Saccharomyces cerevisiae S288C: one gene and its partners. Changing the gene in region 1 together with any one later gene gives a genetic interaction. Each region holds a gene or a part of one and is shown in the gene's direction. Other genes may lie near its edges. The genes, in order: PAD1, YPR127W and MET10.

Evidence for each region.
Region 2: mutations in PAD1 (region 1) and YPR127W together harm fitness more than expected from each alone (negative genetic interaction), as found in Saccharomyces cerevisiae (one large-scale study listed by BioGRID).
Region 3: mutations in PAD1 (region 1) and MET10 together harm fitness more than expected from each alone (negative genetic interaction), as found in Saccharomyces cerevisiae (one large-scale study listed by BioGRID).

What each region holds. Positions count from the first base shown.
Region 1 is NC_001136.10:1,508,902-1,512,130, forward strand, and holds PAD1 (phenylacrylic acid decarboxylase PAD1), read left to right. Parts: upstream 1-2,000; coding exon 2,001-2,729; downstream 2,730-3,229. Other genes in the region: glucose-inactivated glycerol proton symporter STL1, read left to right, coding at 1-813; putative phenylacrylic acid decarboxylase FDC1, read left to right, coding at 3,193-3,229. UniProt on the Saccharomyces cerevisiae protein: Flavin prenyltransferase that catalyzes the synthesis of the prenylated FMN cofactor (prenyl-FMN) for the ferulic acid decarboxylase FDC1/ubiD.
Region 2 is NC_001148.4:788,253-791,735, forward strand, and holds YPR127W (pyridoxine 4-dehydrogenase), read left to right. Parts: upstream 1-1,830; coding exon 1,831-2,868; downstream 2,869-3,483. Other genes in the region: YLH47 (Ylh47p), read left to right, coding at 1-1,073; ANT1 (Ant1p), read right to left, coding at 2,966-3,483. UniProt on the Saccharomyces cerevisiae protein: Catalyzes the reduction of pyridoxal (PL) with NADPH and oxidation of pyridoxine (PN) with NADP(+).
Region 3 is NC_001138.5:211,312-215,152, forward strand, and holds the start of MET10 (sulfite reductase subunit alpha), read left to right. Parts: upstream 1-2,000; coding exon 2,001-3,841. Other genes in the region: PTR3 (Ptr3p), read left to right, coding at 1-1,662. UniProt on the Saccharomyces cerevisiae protein: This enzyme catalyzes the 6-electron reduction of sulfite to sulfide. This is one of several activities required for the biosynthesis of L-cysteine from sulfate.

The sequences.
Region 1 (3,229 bases):
TTTTTCCAGCAATTTACTGGTTGTAACGCTGCCATATACTACTCTACTGTATTATTCAACAAAACAATTAAATTAGACTATAGATTATCAATGATCATAGGTGGGGTCTTCGCAACAATCTACGCCTTATCTACTATTGGTTCATTTTTTCTAATTGAAAAGCTAGGTAGACGTAAGCTGTTTTTATTAGGTGCCACAGGTCAAGCAGTTTCATTCACAATTACATTTGCATGCTTGGTCAAAGAAAATAAAGAAAACGCAAGAGGTGCTGCCGTCGGCTTATTTTTGTTCATTACATTCTTTGGTTTGTCTTTGCTATCATTACCATGGATATACCCACCAGAAATTGCATCAATGAAAGTTCGTGCATCAACAAACGCTTTCTCCACATGTACTAATTGGTTGTGTAACTTTGCGGTTGTCATGTTCACCCCAATATTTATTGGACAGTCCGGTTGGGGTTGCTACTTATTTTTTGCTGTTATGAATTATTTATACATTCCAGTTATCTTCTTTTTCTACCCTGAAACCGCCGGAAGAAGTTTGGAGGAAATCGACATCATCTTTGCTAAAGCATACGAGGATGGCACTCAACCATGGAGAGTTGCTAACCATTTGCCCAAGTTATCCCTACAAGAAGTCGAAGATCATGCCAATGCATTGGGCTCTTATGACGACGAAATGGAAAAAGAGGACTTTGGTGAAGATAGAGTAGAAGACACCTATAACCAAATTAACGGCGATAATTCGTCTAGTTCTTCAAACATCAAAAATGAAGATACAGTGAACGATAAAGCAAATTTTGAGGGTTGATTCACACACAACTCACAAATCATATTTTGTAATTTACTTAAGAAAGCATTTTGCGGGGTTTATATTTGTTCCTTGCCGCACCAATAATATTCATATATTACTACATAACTTTAGTATTTTAACACCAGACGATCTGTCTTTTGAGGAAATATGTCCACTTTCATTTTCTTCCGCTTGCCGGCAATGCCTATAAAAAGCTTATAAAATAGCCCGACTCCGTAGTCTTAATATTTATTTAAGTACAATAATAGTCCCACAAAAATTTTTAAAACATCTTTATTGATAACGTGGACGTGTTATTACATTGGAGCGAATGATGACGGAAGTAGGAAAATCTGAATACTAAGGTGAAGATATTTTAGCAGGGTGCCGCCATGGATGTTCTATGAATGTCTTCCTTCCTTTTCTCTCATGGGACACCGCAAAAACCTGTTCTACCATCATTTAACTGCAACATACAAAAAGCCACCAACTTTCGAACACTGCAAATGGTGCTATTCTCTTTTTGCGGTCTTGCCATGATATTCTTCTTGCAAAAAGGGTTTTAGAGCAAGATTTCAAATTAGCCATGAATATCATGCATCGCTTAGAGCAGTAAGATTTTACCAGAGCTTTACAGGACCTATTTTTCATACGTTATGCACTTCATTCTTCTTGTCGGTTTGATAACAGCAGAATCTAGTTCCTTTAATTTGAACGTTAGCCCGGCAGAAGCCATACCTCGAAAACGCAGCAGCGCTTCATAGGCATATCAAAAACAGGGCAAGGGACACCATACATCACCTAGTGCTGTTACTTATAACCAACTTGACAACGATTGCACAAGAAAAGAGTATATCTGTGAAGACAGCCAAAACGCTTAACATGTTATGACATAAATTGCAGACAAGAAATTGGATGTATTTTACAGACTTTGCATTCCTGTCTGAAAGCCTTTTTACATAAAAATGGTTTCATTAGTAGCACTTCGTATCGTTTTCAAATAATGATGAGATGCTCCAAAAGGAAAGTTGGCACAGAAAAAATGACGCGCCTTTCCTGTTTACCGTTAAACTTCTCAGAAAAAGTATACTCGACCCATTTTTAAGATTGGTGATGGATAGAATTTCATTTAACATAATGCTGCAAATATAGATTGATTTCAATCTACGGAGTCCAACGCATTGAGCAGCTTCAATTGAGTAGATATGCTCCTATTTCCAAGAAGAACTAATATAGCCTTTTTCAAAACAACAGGCATTTTTGCTAATTTTCCTTTGCTAGGTAGAACCATTACAACTTCACCATCTTTCCTTACACATAAACTGTCAAAGGAAGTAACCAGGGCATCAACTTCGCCTCCAAGACCAAAGAGAATTGTTGTCGCAATTACTGGTGCGACTGGTGTTGCACTGGGAATCAGACTTCTACAAGTGCTAAAAGAGTTGAGCGTAGAAACCCATTTGGTGATTTCAAAATGGGGTGCAGCAACAATGAAATATGAAACAGATTGGGAACCGCATGACGTGGCGGCCTTGGCAACCAAGACATACTCTGTTCGTGATGTTTCTGCATGCATTTCGTCCGGATCTTTCCAGCATGATGGTATGATTGTTGTGCCCTGTTCCATGAAATCACTAGCTGCTATTAGAATCGGTTTTACAGAGGATTTAATTACAAGAGCTGCCGATGTTTCGATTAAAGAGAATCGTAAGTTACTACTGGTTACTCGGGAAACCCCTTTATCTTCCATCCATCTTGAAAACATGTTGTCTTTATGCAGGGCAGGTGTTATAATTTTTCCTCCGGTACCTGCGTTTTATACAAGACCCAAGAGCCTTCATGACCTATTAGAACAAAGTGTTGGCAGGATCCTAGACTGCTTTGGCATCCACGCTGACACTTTTCCTCGTTGGGAAGGAATAAAAAGCAAGTAACACTTTTTCTGAGCATTTTATTACGTTACTCAACTACTAATAGAGTTGATTTGTTACTTGCTAAAATCTTTTTATATTTCTTTTAGCCCCGACAGAACTTGTTGCAAATGAATACAAACCGTGAACTTCCCGATATCATTCTAATTGAACCCAGATATTTACACATGTACTTCTTACTCATTTTCAATGTCAGCTTAAATATCGTCTAAAACAATATTTTACTAGATACGCAGTTCAATCTTCGCGCATATTTTCACGAAAGTCCAAATTGCGTACGTAGTTTTATGTCAAAGTGACCGCCGTTGTAGCGTACTTTTTCCTATAAGACAAGCTCGTGATATCAGGAATATATCAGGAATGTAAACGAATACCGCATATCTTTTTGATTTTTTTCCTCTGAGTTATTCTATTCTTGACATTATTACATCACCAATTCAAAAGAATTGTCAATTTATATATTTAAATGAGGAAGCTAAATCCAGCTTTAGAATTTAGAGACT
Region 2 (3,483 bases), on another chromosome or scaffold:
TTTTGGGGTTGGAGATAAAAATTTCTTCCAAATTGCTCATGAAGAGTGCTGCAGGCTACCCATTGACGAGAAGAGAAAATTTACAACTGAAAAGAACTACTCAAGATATCGTTCGGTTGGTTCCATTTGCTGCTTTCCTCATTATACCCTTTGCTGAACTTCTTCTTCCATTTGCATTAAAGTTATTCCCCAATTTACTTCCTTCTACTTATGAATCAAGTAAAAAACGCGAGAATAAACTAGAAAATTTAAGAAACACAAGGAAGTTAATGTCTGAAATCATAAAGAATAACAAGTCCCATTTTAAACCTAATAATATTTCCGAGGAACAAAAAGCTTTGTTTAACAGGTTCTACACACATGTCCGTGCTACAGGAGTGCCGGAGTCTCGTCAACAGCTAATCGAAGTAGCTAGATTATTCACTGATGATACTGTATTGGATAATGTGACAAGACCTTACTTGATTGCATTAGCGAAGTATATGAATTTGCAACCATTCGGCACTGATGTGATGCTACGTTACCGTATCAGATACAAAATGCTTGAATTGAAAAAAGATGATCTATCTATATATTACGAGGATGCAGAACAACTCTCCCTCTCTGAATTGAAAACAGCATGCGCCTCCAGAGGTATTAGAAGTGTAGACGTAGAGCCTAGCGTGTTATATTCGAATCTAAGATTGTGGCTGAACATGAGGCTCAAGGATAAGATCCCATCCACGCTGTTAATCATGGCTACTGCCTATAACTACGGTAATGTGCAATCAAAGGAGTCATTGTACGACGCATTATGTGACGTTTTAATCGGTATCCCTGATGAACTATACCATGAGGTTAAAGTAAACGTCGTTAAGGAAGATGAGGCATCCGCTAAGCAAAAATTGAAACAATTGAGGGAGCAAGAAGAAATTATGAAGGAAGAAGAGCAGCAAGAAGAGAACGCCATTGTGAGCGTCAAGGATGAGTTGAGCTTGGACGACCAAGACAAGAACATAGATGCGGCTGCTCCAGACGTAAAACCGCATGACACCAAGCCTATCGGAGAAGCCGCTGCCATCAAAGAGAAGTAACCCAGTTTTCACCTGGCCCATTAAACCGCACGATACACTCTCCGCTACTCTCGCCAACATTCTTTTTATACATACTTGCACGAAACTGCTTTTTTAGCAATGAAAAGAAAATGTAGTGAACTCTACTATAGATTTTGTACATAAGATAAATAAAATACACTACTATATGAAATTTTTGTTTGTAAAGCTGGTGTTTGCACACATAGATAGTATCAACGTAGGGGATCAACACATGCACGACTACTAGAAGCCTTACCCGTAACTTCTTGCATATCTGCTTTGCCAATATTTTTTTTTAAAGTTATTTCTTAAACTACTCCTCGTGCTGTCCACATTTTTACCCGTTAGTTGTTAGACAAAAAAAAAGCGCAACTATCTCCCTTTTGCGCATCTCCCAAGTCCTTTACCAAATATATTAGAAGAATGACACCCGGCCGAGACGGATGAAGCGGCCGTCTCGGCCGCCTTAGGAAGGGATCTGCGTTTTTGTTCGTTAATGAGGTAATCAAGGGCGTACTTGGTAGAACGGTACTAAGTTAATCATTGCTGCTCTCCCTCAAAATTACTCAAAGAATAGAGTGTCTATTGAACCGTAGAATAGGCATTTATTATATAAGGGGTTGTCAATTTACCAAATTTTTTACTTCATCTCAGGACTCTCTCTTAAAATTATTTTCCTTGCCATTTTCTATGTTATGTAGAATAGAAAAACAGGTACATATTAACTAAAATATACACCAAAAAAAGTAAAAATAAAATGTCTGTCGCCGATTTGAAAAACAACATCCACAAGTTAGATACTGGCTATGGTTTAATGAGTTTGACTTGGAGAGCCGAGCCTATCCCTCAGTCGCAGGCTTTCGAGGCCATGCACAGAGTGGTTGAGTTATCCAGAGAACGTGGGCACAAGGCCTTTTTCAACGTTGGTGAATTCTATGGTCCCGATTTTATTAATTTGTCGTATGTTCACGACTTCTTTGCGAAATACCCAGATTTGAGAAAGGATGTGGTTATCAGTTGTAAAGGTGGTGCAGACAATGCTACCTTAACCCCCAGAGGCAGTCACGATGATGTTGTACAAAGCGTAAAGAATTCAGTTAGTGCTATTGGTGGCTACATCGACATCTTCGAAGTCGCAAGAATCGACACTTCCCTATGCACGAAAGGAGAGGTCTACCCCTACGAATCGTTCGAAGCGCTTGCTGAGATGATCTCCGAAGGCGTTATTGGCGGTATTTCATTAAGTGAAGTTAATGAAGAGCAAATTAGAGCTATTCACAAGGATTGGGGAAAGTTTTTGACCTGCGTTGAAGTGGAACTTTCTTTGTTCAGTAATGACATTTTACACAACGGAATTGCTAAAACATGTGCTGAATTGGGGTTGTCCATCATCTGCTACTCCCCACTGGGCAGAGGATTGTTGACAGGTCAATTGAAGTCAAACGCTGATATCCCTGAGGGTGACTTTAGAAAGTCGTTAAAGAGATTTAGCGACGAGTCTTTGAAAAAAAACCTGACCTTGGTCAGGTTTCTACAGGAAGAAATAGTCGACAAGCGCCCACAAAACAACTCCATTACTCTTGCACAACTGGCTTTGGGATGGGTTAAGCACTGGAACAAAGTTCCGGAATACAGTGGCGCCAAATTTATCCCAATTCCAAGTGGCTCTTCTATTTCCAAGGTTAATGAAAACTTTGATGAACAGAAAACCAAACTTACCGATCAAGAGTTCAATGCCATTAACAAATATTTGACTACTTTCCATACTGTTGGTGACAGATACGAAATGGCGTAAGGTTAAAAAAGTGAATCTCCATTGTTTATATAAATTTTAAATTTGATATGTAAAGATTCTAAACGCAATGTGCTTATTTCAGTAATAGTAAGGATTCTCAAGTGGAAGCCAGCTTGCGTTGTCCGTTGTGCTTTAGGAAAAAAGAAGAGTACAAGAATATTAGCCTCTTTAAAGATTTTGTCAATTCTCCTCTGAAAGCAAACAACAGACCTTGCACAATGACACCCTTTGTCAATTGAGGAAGAACTCCCTTCCAAAGAGATTTTAACCCTTCATTTTTGTACAAGTATAGTAGCGCTTCTTGGAAAGTAGTGAATTTAGAGCCAGCGCTTTGAAGCATTGCTTTAGCGACAATCAAGGGTTGCGTAACTAGAGTCGAAATCATCTTGGAAAGGACACCCAAAATGAAATTTTGCACTGCTGACAAACTGCCAGCATCGTTGGAATGGTCATGGAAAAAAACTTCTTTAAGTCTTTGAAAAGAGGCATATGTGATGGAAGGATTTATCGTCAATGCTAAACCTGTTCTTAAACCTTTCCAAAAAGCAGTTATGTCCCCATTATTTTCACGGTAAATGTCCTTAATAACGTTGGTAAATTTGGCAGACTCTGCAG
Region 3 (3,841 bases), on another chromosome or scaffold:
AAGACTTCACCATCATCATCATCACTATCGCTAACGCCATCGCGCTCTTCCTCCACTGCTGGGCTAGAAGCTGATAACAAGACACTATCAGACCCTACAGTTAAGGAGAAATCATCACTGCTCGAACTCTTCCATATTGTGGCTTCGAAGATGCATAATGCGAATACAGAGGTAGGGTCGGACCACCCACTCACGACTGGCACCACCCGTGATCAAGAAGAACACACCACTAAGGAGAATTACTCAAGCAGCTTACTCGAGCCCAACTATGACGACCACGCGAACTGGAAAATCCTGGATAATGCCTCGAACACAAGAACTGTGCCGATAGATAACAACTTCTCTTTGATGTCTACGGACGTTACAATACCTTCCACAGCAAACTACCAAACAAATAGTGCACATGATCTGGACGAAGAAAAGGAGTACTTTTTTGCCAACTGTTTCCCCATGTACAGAAAAAAATTTCAGTTCAACACACACCCCAAATTCCTAGGGACGAAATCCAAATTATTCATCAACCAAAGCATTTCTCCCGATTGCACCAAATTTGCTCTAATTACTGAACACAAGTGGGAAATTTATTCGATTAATCCGAAGGACAACTCTCCTCAACTAGTATCATGTGGCAAGTCTAGTGGAGAATATGGTCCCAACTTCAACCAACTAACAGAGCAATCGTCATCTTCACTCTCCACTACTTCTCAAGCGTCAAAAAAGAAAAAGAAAAACTGGAGCCAACGTTTTTGCAAACTTTCCAATGATTTCTTGATAATATCGGGTTCGCAAAACATTCTTAATGTACACGACATACACCAAAACGGCAAACTCATCTATACCTACGTGTCGAGATTCCCCATCCGATGCATAGACATAGATCCAAGGTCGCAGATAATAGCCTACGGAATCACCGGAAAGGATAGACATACAGGCGCGGAACAAGCATTAGTCGTGATCCAACAAATTACCAGAAATAAAGTGACTTTGGAGCCCGAGTTCCCCCCACCAATCACCATAACACTTCCATACAGAGATCCCATCAATACCATACAACTTTCGCACGACGCCAAGTATCTGACATGTTCGACCGCGCTAGAGTCGCGGTTCTTGATCATATCTTTGCAGAAAATAAACGAACCAAGACTGATAATGAAAAGTGTTCGGTCCATAGACACTTCCTTAGAATCTGAAGGTATCACTGACACAAAACTTTTCCCAGGAAATCCAAATCTGATGTGTATCACATCAACAGCATTCAATTCATCTCCACTGGTCATAAACACCAAAATCACCCAAATTAACGGTGTACGGACCGTGGCACAACCATCCATGCTTATAAGGGTAGATGAGATTGGATGCAAGATTCACAAGTGCGAAATATCACCAAGAAACGACGCAATTGCCTTCCTCGACCGCAACGGATCAGTTTACATCATGTGTGCCCCCACCATGATGGACAACAACGAAAAAAGAAGGACAATCCTCGTTGAAACCGTGGCAAATGCCTACAGGGCTTATGAATCAGCTACTTTGCGGTTTAACCCAGAGGGCAACAAGCTTTATATTCTCGACAGAAAGGGGACTTTCTTTGTGGAAGACTTTGCATATGGCTTGCCCCAATCTCGCGAAATCACCAAATGTAAGCAAATATTCCACAAATAATGCATCTAAATATATACGTATGTTTAAGGTTCTGGTATACAGGTATTAAAAGAAAACACTATCAACATTCCCAATAAGATATACCACACCACGTGAGCTTATAGAAGCACGTGACCACAATTCACCCCACAGGTGTGGCTTTTTTGGTGCCGTAGAAAAGACTCATTCATGAATCGTCGGAAACCCATAGTCATCTTCGAGCAAAAGGTATATATAAGCAACAGAGGGCAGTAGTTCTCGAGACCACCATCTTTTGATTGGAAATAGTTTCGTTTAGATGGGGTGCACATAGTTTTTTTCAACTGCTTTTCCTCGAGGTCACCCAAATATACAACGAGATGCCAGTTGAGTTTGCTACCAATCCTTTTGGCGAGGCCAAAAATGCAACTTCACTGCCAAAATATGGTACACCCGTAACTGCCATTTCATCTGTGCTGTTCAATAACGTGGACTCCATTTTTGCTTACAAGTCCTTTTCTCAACCCGATTTGCTACACCAAGATCTAAAAAAATGGTCTGAAAAGCGTGGTAACGAATCACGTGGGAAGCCATTTTTCCAAGAGCTGGATATCAGATCTGGCGCTGGTTTGGCTCCTTTAGGGTTTTCTCATGGATTGAAGAACACTACAGCAATTGTTGCTCCAGGGTTTTCGCTGCCATACTTCATTAACTCTTTGAAAACCGTCTCTCATGATGGTAAGTTTCTTTTGAATGTTGGTGCTTTAAACTACGACAATGCTACCGGCTCTGTCACCAACGATTATGTAACCGCATTGGATGCTGCTTCCAAGCTGAAGTATGGTGTCGTGACTCCGATTTCCGCTAACGAGGTACAAAGTGTCGCCTTACTGGCATTGGCGATTGCCACTTTCAGTAATAACTCCGGAGCTATCAATTTATTTGACGGATTAAACTACTCGAAAACCGTCTTGCCGTTGGTCGAATCTGTTCCTGAGGCATCTATTTTGGCAAAACTATCCAAAGTTATTGCACCAGATGCTGCCTTTGATGATGTCTTGGATAAGTTTAATGAATTGACTGGATTGAGACTACATAATTTCCAATACTTTGGTGCTCAGGATGCTGAAACTGTGTTTATCACTTATGGGTCTTTAGAATCCGAATTGTTCAACTCTGCGATTAGTGGTAATAATTCCAAAATCGGGTTAATCAACGTCAGAGTGCCATTACCTTTTAACGTTGCTAAGTTTGTCACTCACGTTCCATCCACTACCAAACAAATTGTTGTTATAGGCCAAACTTTGGATGGTTCTTCGCCTTCTTTCTTGAGATCTCAAGTTTCAGCCGCCTTATTTTACCACGGCCGCACCTCAATTAGCGTTTCTGAGTACATCTATCAACCAGATTTCATTTGGTCCCCAAAAGCTGTCAAATCAATTGTATCGTCATTCATCCCTGAATTCACTTACAATGCCGATTCATCTTTCGGCGAAGGATTCATTTATTGGGCCTCTGATAAGAGTATCAATATTGATGTTGCCTCCAAACTTGTGAAAGCTCTGTCTTTGGAAGATGGGAAATTTGTGTCTTTGAGAACGAAATTTGATAACTTGGCTAATGCTGGTACCTTCCAAGCTCAATTTGTGACCTCGAAAGAACAGATACCTGTTTCAAACATCGATTCTACGAAATTATCAGTCGTTGAAGATGTCAGTTTATTGAAGCATTTAGACGTAGCTGCTACCGTCGCAGAACAAGGTTCAATTGCGTTGGTTTCCCAAAAGGCAGTTAAAGATTTGGATTTAAATTCTGTAGAAAGTTACGTCAAGAATTTGGGAATTCCTGAATCATTCCTAATATCTATTGCGAAGAAAAACATCAAATTGTTTATCATCGATGGTGAGACCACTAACGACGAGTCCAAATTGTCCTTGTTTATCCAAGCCGTTTTCTGGAAATTGGCCTTCGGTCTAGATGTCGCAGAATGTACCAACCGTATCTGGAAAAGCATTGATTCAGGTGCAGACATTTCAGCAGCCTCGATTTCTGAATTTCTCACTGGTGCATTCAAAAACTTCCTCAGTGAGGTTCCGCTAGCGCTGTACACTAAATTTTCTGAAATAAACATTGAAAAGAAAGAGGATGAGGAAGAGCCTGCAGCTTTACCAATTTTCGTTAATGAAACATCTTTCCTCCCAAATAACAGTACCATTGAAGA